Linked DNA regions of Mus musculus: region 1 is reported to be linked to region 2. Evidence: microRNA targets listed by miRTarBase, many of them from high-throughput screens and not tested one by one. Region 2 holds a microRNA gene; the other region holds the end of a gene's coding sequence.

Region 1 (4,000 bases), not on the chromosome of region 2:
GAGCCCTTCTTTGGCTAACTTCATAGACTGTGAAGAATCCAACAGCGACAGTGGAGAAGAGCTAGAAACCCCACCACCCTCACTGCAGGGAGGTCTGGGCCCCTCGACACTCGTCCAGCAAAATGCTGATCCGGATGTGGACATACCACAGTGGGAAGTCTTCTTCAAAAGAAGAGATGAAATCACAGGTGAATGTTTGGAACACTTACCTTCCTCCATAGAGACAGGGGGATCTCAGTCACCAAAGCTCTGCAGTGACTCACCAAAGCTCTGCAGTGACTCACCAAAGCTCTGCAGTGACTCTGATGGAGACTCCACCCATATCTCTTCCCAGAATTCATCTCAGTCAACCCATATAACAGATCAAGGAAGTCAAGGCTGGGACAGCCAGTGTGATACTGTTTTGTTATCTTCCCAAGAGAAAAGTGGTGGGGATAGTACCTCTTTAAACAAGGGTGCCTACAAACCAAAACTCAAAGAGAGTATTTCTGCCTCTCAAATAGAACAGGATGCACTGTGTCCACAAGATACTCACTGTGATTTGAAAAGCAGAGCTGAAGTAAATGGAGCCCCTTGTCTTGTAGAACTAGACACCCTGAGTGGCAGGAAGTCTCCACCTGAGAAGACATTGCTAAGCAGCACACGTGCAGACTCACAGAGCTCCTCTGACTTTGAAATCCCCTCAACTCCCGAAGCGGAGCTTCCTACGCCAGAGCATTTGCAGTGCTTATACAGGAAACTGGCAACAGGTCAAAGTATAGTTGTCGAAAAAAGAAAATGTTCACTTTTAGATAGTTAACAAATAAAACTCTACACAGAGAAACCCTGTCTCGAAAAACCAAAACAACAACAACAACAACAGAAAAAAAAACCCTCTCATTCTAGCAAAGATGTCCAGCCTTTCGATGTTGCAATACAATGCTATACATAAAAGTCCTGGGCAATATCCATAGCTGTGGATGTATGTGGCCTGGAGGGTAGACACACTTGTTAGATCAACCACAAGAAATCTGCAGAGTGACACATCTATATAATAAGATCAACATGAAATATTAAAGGATGCTCAAGTGACCTAAAAGAAAGAGAAACAGGCTCAAAACCAGCATTGCATGAGATGGTAGAACTAAATCTAAACATATAATCACATTAAATGCAAATGATATAAAAAGATTTATGGTGAGATGGCTCAGTGGGTAAGAGCACCCGACTGCTCTTCCGAAGGTCCGGAGTTCAAATCCCAGCAACCACATGGTGGCTCACAACCATCCATAACGAGATCTGACTCCCTCTTCTGGAGTGTCTGAAGACAGCTACAGTGTACTTACATATAAATAAACAAATCTTAAAAGAAAAAAAAAAAGATTTACAAAAAGACAGAGTACAGGAAAAACACTGCCCAACTATGTGCTGTTTTTAGAAAACACAACTCAAGTGATGTAAAAGTTGAAGGTAAAGGGCAGACCACATAAATAATGTTAAAGCCAGAATGATACAGTAGGAGCAGGCACCTTCCCCAACATAATGTCTACCTCACCAAGAAGATGTAATGGTAAGGTTCTTGCCTAGATTGTATGAAGGCCTAGCTGCAGTTTCCAGTACAGTACAGTGCCATGCCCTCCACAAAAGAGCAAATAATACAGATACAAGCCATGGAACACGCTTTCCTAGAGAACCAGTGCACACAGGAAAGCAGTAAGACGAGAACTGACCACCAGTAACTGGATCTGATAGACAAGAGTATTTTACTTCATAGCAGAATACATCTCTTCAAATGTACAAGGACCATTCCTCCACCAAGATACACTGTATCTTGAATCACTACAAGCAGTCTAGAAAAATAAAGGTGGGCTCTATTTTAGTAAACTGGTAGCAGGGGGTAAACCAGGACCTTATTAACCTCTATCACATAAAGACCTGGGTGGGGGGGCAGGGCTGGAGCAGTTTAGAGCACTTGTCGGTTTTGTGGGTTACCCAGATTTGGTTCCCTACACCCATATGGTGGCTCTTAACTGTCTGTAACCCCATTCCAGGGGATCCATGCACACATACATACATACAGGCAAAAGACTCATATATAAAAATAAACCTTAAAAGCTACCAGCAGGCTAGGCAAGGCTGTGTTCTACAAGCTGAGACTAGAGGGACTTGAGTTGGAGGTCAGGCCTGGGCAATGTATGTAGCAAGAGCTTGTTTCAGTACATGAAACTGTTCCCAATGCAATGATGTAAAGGAAAATACTTAAATATTTAACATACATGCTCTGTGAATTATTAAAGTGCCTTAAGGTACAATGCTTTTGTATTGATGTGTATGGATTAATAAAGCTTTATAAGCATTTTCATAAGTACTTGAGTATGATGACATTTTACAAATCAAGGGAAAAGATGTAGGCACACCACATAAGTTTAAAAGGCGTCTAACAATTTGACAGTTAAACTGCATGTCACAGATCATAACTGCTACACAATTAGATCCAGAATTACTGGACCCAACCTGCTGGGTGATTGGACTTAGAATATCTGTACATATAACTCTCCATTTGTGTAGTCACTAATACTCAAAACTTAATTTTAATTTTGTTTCCTTTGACCTGAGCCACACTCAACCCAACTTGGTTTTAATAGAATATTTCATGATCCAAGGTAACATGCCTGTAAACATTGTTCTCAATGTATTTCTAACATTTTATCATTGTAATGTTCATGTTTTAGATCTTAAGTCTGGCATGAACACTGGCTGGCAAAGGTCAAGAGCTAAGAATACATGCTTATCAGCTTAGGTTTCAAATACAGAACAACAGGAAATCTTTACATATGGTGTTTATTCTGTTATTAAAAAAAAAGCCCACTTTATAAAGCTTTAATCTATGAAACCATACTTTGAGGTAGGCATGAAACTAAGGCACAAAGGTTAGTTCACATAGCTAGTAAGCAACACACACACACAGACACACACACCCCGAAGCTTTTAGAGTCCATGCTCGAGCACTCTGCTGTATGAGGAAAGCTCTTTACATAAAGCATTAAAACGGGCAGCATTGATTGTAGTGGCTACATCATTCTTCAAGAGTTCTAAATTAGCAAAGTTAAAAACATTTCAAAATGCCAAGATACATCACAAAATCCTAAAGGCTAGCCACTTTTACTTCAGAGAAGAATCAAATGCAAACTGATTGTATATACCTTCTCATACAACTTGACAAGCCTAGGGTCACCTGGGAAAAAGTAACCTCATTTGAGAAACTGGCTCCATCAAAATTGGCCTGTGGCATGTCTGTGGGGATTTCCTTAATTGTAATTGATGTAGCGGGGTCTAGCTCACTGTGGGCAGTACCATTCCTAGGCAGAGGGGCCTGGGCTATCTAAGAAACCTAGCTGAGCATGAGTCTGGCTGAGAGTAAGCCAAGAAGCAGCGTTAGCTTTCCTACATGGTTCCAGCCTCTGCTCAAGTTCCTGTCATGATTATTTCCAAGGACATGTTGCTGAAGACACTACATACTTGGGACGTGTGACGTGAGGAATCAGGCTCCAGCTGAATTGATCACTTTTATCACAACAATGTGCACACACATACACATACCCTGTATAAATAGCTAACATGAGGTGACAGTCTGAGAGGGATGTAATGGGGGAATGTTGAGAGGCAGGAAAGAGTAATGGAATAGTGAAGGGAAGCAATGACCATTACATGTGTGGCACTCAGAGTGAAGTCTGTTTGTGTTTAAAGGTAAAAATCTCCAGGCTGGCATGGTGGCACGTGTCTGCAATCCCAGCGCTGGGCCGTAGGGGGGCAGAGCTGAGGAGTTCACGATAATACTCAGCTACACAGTAAATTCAAGGCTAACCTGGCTACAGATACTCTGTCCAAAGGCCTACCCACTCCCCACAAAATCTTAAGGGCACATTAAATTTCTATTAGTAAGGACAAAACAAAGCCACATATTTATTAAACAGTATTTTCCTTCTTGCCCTCCTAAGTTTCCTTTTAACCTTAACAGTAA
Region 2 (4,546 bases):
CAGTAAGCATTTTATTATCACTTTCAGAAGAAGAAAAGTTTATGTCACTTCTAAGATTTAAAGTGCTTTTATAAAAATTTTTACATTTTATTAATTAAAATGAAAAGTTAATACCACAACCACAAATAAATAACTTTATTTGAAATTCTTTTTATCACATTTCATGAAGCTTTTAAGAAACATCTTTATCCAGTTTAGTTCTTCCAAATAAGGTTGACAGTTGCTAGGTATTTGCTTTTAGTTACAGTTTGTATGAATTGAGTAAGTTGAGATGTAATTCATGCTCATAAAACACTGGCTGTCCATGTGTAATCAATGCATAGCTACAGCTGGTTGAAGGGGACCAAATCCATTGAAGAGGCGATTTGGTTCCATTTTACCAGCTTTAGCAAAGCATTGCCGCTGCTGGTGTAGGATCCAAACAGGTTAAATGCTCTTTTGTAGAAATATAGCATGACAGGTATTAGAGGTTCCCACACTAGTGTACCAGTTGTTAAACAGAAAATTCACGTGTTTAGGCATATGTCCTACACTGCTGTTCTTGCAGCTCACATCAGTGCATCTTTACTTAGTTCTTAAATGCACACAGTAGCCTTTCAAAACCAACATTTGAAAGAACAGATAAATCATCATGTGTTTCAGAGTAATGCTTCTAAATTATCACCATGTTGGTTTGTTCATTCAGGTCTCTGTGTAGTCCTGGCTGTCCTGGAACTCACTCTGTAGACCAGGCTAGCCTCAAACAGAGATCTGCCTGCCTCTGCCTCCCAAGTGCTGGAATTAAAGCAGTCTGCCACCATGCCTGCAAACCAGGTTTTTAAGTAATTAAACTAGATGTTGAAAAAGGGTCATGTTAGCTACATATTTTTGTACTGCTTCTATTTTAGCTGAGGACTTAACAAGTTCTGATACGGAGTGGAAGGATAAGAATGGCCTTAAGAAAGTAACTCTGTCCTTTAATTTATTAATACATCACACATATCTTCAGTGTCATTCTTTGCTTTTGTTTATGTTGGCATACTAACCCTAAGTTCAGAAATTAACCTTCTTAAAAATCTATTTTATTGAGGTGGGGTGGGGAGGAGATGTGGGATGTGGAACAGTTGGAGGGTAGAGGGGGGTGGGGGTGGGGAATGGAATGTGGAGTGTAAAAAATAGATTAAAAATAAAATAAAATTTAAAAATCTATTTTCTTGACTAAATTCTATGCTGTTTTGAGTATAGATTGTTCTTATTATAAGGTTAGTGATACATTGATGTATGGTAGTTGGCTATAATCCCTGAATTTTGAATATTAAAACCTACCATGTGATACTTTAAAACCAGTACTTAAGCATTTGATGTGATTCTGTTGGAGATTTCCTGCCTGAAGAGAATGTCTTCTGACACATACTCATACAATAAAAGTTTGATATATTATAGCTTGTCTGTAAAATTAGAATGCTGAGGGAAATACCATATAATTTTATTTTTTTAAACTAATATGGTAGAAGGACAACACAATCTCAGACAGTATGCAAATAGTTTAATATTCTATTCTACATCTGTTGTTAATTATTGTGCTTCTGGTGAAATTAATGTAATTTTAATTCTTTGCATCATTTTTTCCAAATAGTGAAACAGGTATTTGGTTGCTTAAACTTAAGTGCTGAAGATAGCACTTGCCTGGTTCTATTTTAGTAGGTCCCTGGCAGCCAGTCAGCAAGTGCAGTTGCTCAAGTGTGCTTTTGGATCATTGAGTTTCGTGTACTGGCCATATCAGGACAAGGAGAGGCCATGGGAAAAAATAGTCCAGCATCTGATAGTGTCAGCATCTGTTATCCCTGTCAGGGTGACAGTTGAAGTGTTTGAGTAATAGCAGTGTCAGCAGATGCCCAGAGTTTAACATGTACTCACTTCAAAAGGGACAGCTGATCTAAGTGCTGGATGTGACATTTCAAGTGATTCAAAACACTCCTAGACAAAAGCTGAACTTGGAAGCAACAAAATCAGTTTTCAGTTTTATTTTATAAATGAATAGCTAATATTCTCTAAGGATTGTAACAAATTATTAGTTGTGAAAATGTTTCTTAAAGAATTATGAAAACCTTTCAGACCTGTGGAATAACTAATGTAGCTGTTCATAACTCATTGTGAGAAAAACAATGTCATTTGATATAAGCAAGGACAATACAGACTCAGGTTTTTGACAGTTTGTTGCCAATATATCCTGTTTACATTTTAGTTGTGGCCTAGGGTTTTGCCATTTTTATCATTCTTTTTCATGCTGTAAGTATTAACTGCACTTAAAGTACAGATTGGGTTAAGAACTGACAAGCTGGAAAAGGACAAAAGCCAGTTTTCATGTGTGCAGTATAATTTTACTTAAAAGATAGTCTTTAAACATTATAGTTTCAATAGCTGTCAGAAAAGAAAATAATGAAACCAAAATTTTTGGCTTACGAGATCCTCTGATTTTAATAGGTTATACATTTTGCCACATGTGAAGAATAGCTATTATATGAGTAAAATCAGCTTTTTGTTGCTTTATTTTTCTTATTAGATTTGTTGGTCCTGATTTGATAGATGTGAGACACTAAAATATCCAATTGTGAAGACAGATAATGGTTGATCCTGTGTCTCACTGTTTTGCGCTAGCAATACTATTTCCTCTGTAGTAGTCACATTTTAATCACGTGAGTATTCAGTGTAGAGTGTAGTATGATTTAATGTGAAAATTAAAATCCACTTCCACGGGACTTATCTCTTCAGTACAGTATAAGGGATGTTAGTTTTCCCAGTGAATGGCTGGTCCTTTTGGAATGGGGCTGTTAGTATTACAGGTGAATTCAGAGTATGGAAGTCATCCTCCTGGAAAGTTTCCTTTAGCTTCTTCTTGGCGGACATTACCTACCCAAAATACATACTTCTTTACATTCCATAGCACTGAATGTTCATATGGGTACATAAAGAAGTATGTGCTCTGAGTAGGCACTCCTGCGCCGGCCGATAGCTGTGAAAACATGAAGCAGCCCACCTCACCCAGCTGTTAGTAGGACATTTGGATTACTTTTCTGGAAGAGTAATGGATCCAGTGCGGAGATTAGCTTATCAGAGACTGAATTTTACAACAGATTTACCTGATCCCATCAATGCCACTTCTGCTTGTGGTTCTTTTAAGCACTGCCATGCTTTGCCCTGCTGCTTCTTTTCCAAGAGATGCAGTCAGCAGAGTCTTAAGTGTATTCAGAAATGTTAGCACGCTTGCTGCTCTCTCCGTCGTGCCTCCCTCTTCTTTATAATTTGCTTCTAGATCCTTTACAGACAGATGATAATCAATTTAGTCTAAATTGTTTTTATAAACCAGATACTTCTACTTAAAACTTATTGGGAGAAACAAGTTACAGTTAGCACAGGCTTTGAAATTGGATCATTTCATTGTGTGAGTGAATTAATGTTTTTAAATGGAAATTTATTTTCAAGGTAACAGATTACAAATCATTTAGCCAAGTTTTTGTTCTGTTTCTGTTTGCATTGAATGCAAATTCAAATAGTTACGTGCTTGGTTTGTATGAGATTACTTTTTAAAAATGGTTTTTAATATAATGGAAAAGTACTAAAATAACTTTTCCAAAGTCTCCATAAAAGAGGAGAAGCACTTTAGTCTGTGAATCTCTGGGTTTTACCTTGAATATTTAGCACAAGAAAAAAAAAATAATTTGGGAGTGGCCTATAGTCACTAAGACATTTTGAAGGTTAATTCAAAAGGAGACATTGAGAAGCTTTGAGATTTGGTAAAGAATAGAAAAGGGGGTGCTGGGAGGGAAGTGGGGGAATAGGATTTCTGCAGTCCATGAAGAAAGCTAGTAAGCTGCCAACGCGGGCCTCAGTCAGCAGTGCCGCTGAGACCTGCACCGTGCAGCAGCATGCGGATGTCTGTGGCCTGAGTAGTAAGCAAGGGGAGACATTTCATAACCCAAATCTTGAAGTAGCCTTTAGAAGCTATTGTGCTCTGGAGGCAGGGATGCAGGTTTACTAGAGGAGCGAGACACAATTGAAACAACTGTTTAATTGAAAACAATAAAGACCCTGTCTGTAGTGATGTAATGTTAGTGGTAGATTGTATATTTTTGAAGTTATCTGGCATGCTGTTTGAACAATGGCATTTTTAAAACTAAATTATTAATTTGAGCTTTGAAATTAGCCTATGCCCAGATATAAATTAATTTAACAATGAGAATATATATCAGTCAATATTAGATAAGCATGCAGAAAGTCAGAAGCGTCCTTCCAAGTTGGTTCTTGTGCTTGATTTACCTGTGAGCTTAGTGTCCTGCCCCACTTACAGGGAAGAGATGTAGTGACCTACAGTAACATTGCAGTCACCACATCATGACCGTTCTTTCACACTGCTGCTGTTTCAGCACTGGTTTTATAAGCTGGGTGAGGTAAGCACCCAGTGTAAGTGAACACAGAACCTTACCTTGTAAGATACATTTGAAAGACAAGTTAAATATACAAAAACAACGTAATTTTACCTTTTTCCCTTGCTCTTCTCATAGACATA

The links. Region 2 holds the annotated microRNA mmu-miR-1b-3p (UGGGUACAUAAAGAAGUAUGUGC, at 2,939-2,961, shown strand). A microRNA usually pairs through its seed, bases 2 to 8, with sites in the 3' UTR of a target mRNA and lowers its output. Matches are read on the target gene's strand: a 7mer-m8 pairs with bases 2 to 8, a 7mer-A1 pairs with bases 2 to 7 and ends in A, and an 8mer does both.
Region 1: the mRNA of Dclre1c is a reported target of mmu-miR-1b-3p. The part of its 3' UTR that is shown has no 7-base or 8-base seed match.

The regions. Positions count from the first base shown.
Region 1 is chr2:3,453,011-3,457,010 of GRCm38, forward strand. Dclre1c (DNA cross-link repair 1C) reads left to right here. Exons shown (of 14, transcript NM_146114.3): 14 at 1-2,344. The coding sequence ends at 799. It overlaps Suv39h2 (suppressor of variegation 3-9 2), which reads right to left. Exons shown (of 6, transcript NM_022724.4): 6 at 2,805-4,000. Among named protein-coding and RNA genes, the nearest start is that of Suv39h2, 20 kb to the right of the region's middle.
Region 2 is chr18:10,782,587-10,787,132 of GRCm38, forward strand. Mir1b (microRNA 1b) reads left to right here and starts at 2,860; the gene lies at 2,860-2,981. All of the region lies in intron 12 of Mib1 (mindbomb E3 ubiquitin protein ligase 1), which reads left to right. Mir133a-1hg (a long non-coding RNA gene) reads right to left here. Exons shown (of 3, transcript XR_877177.3): 2 at 3,120-3,295. It overlaps Mir133a-1 (microRNA 133a-1), which reads right to left and starts at 390; the gene lies at 323-390. It also overlaps Mir1a-2.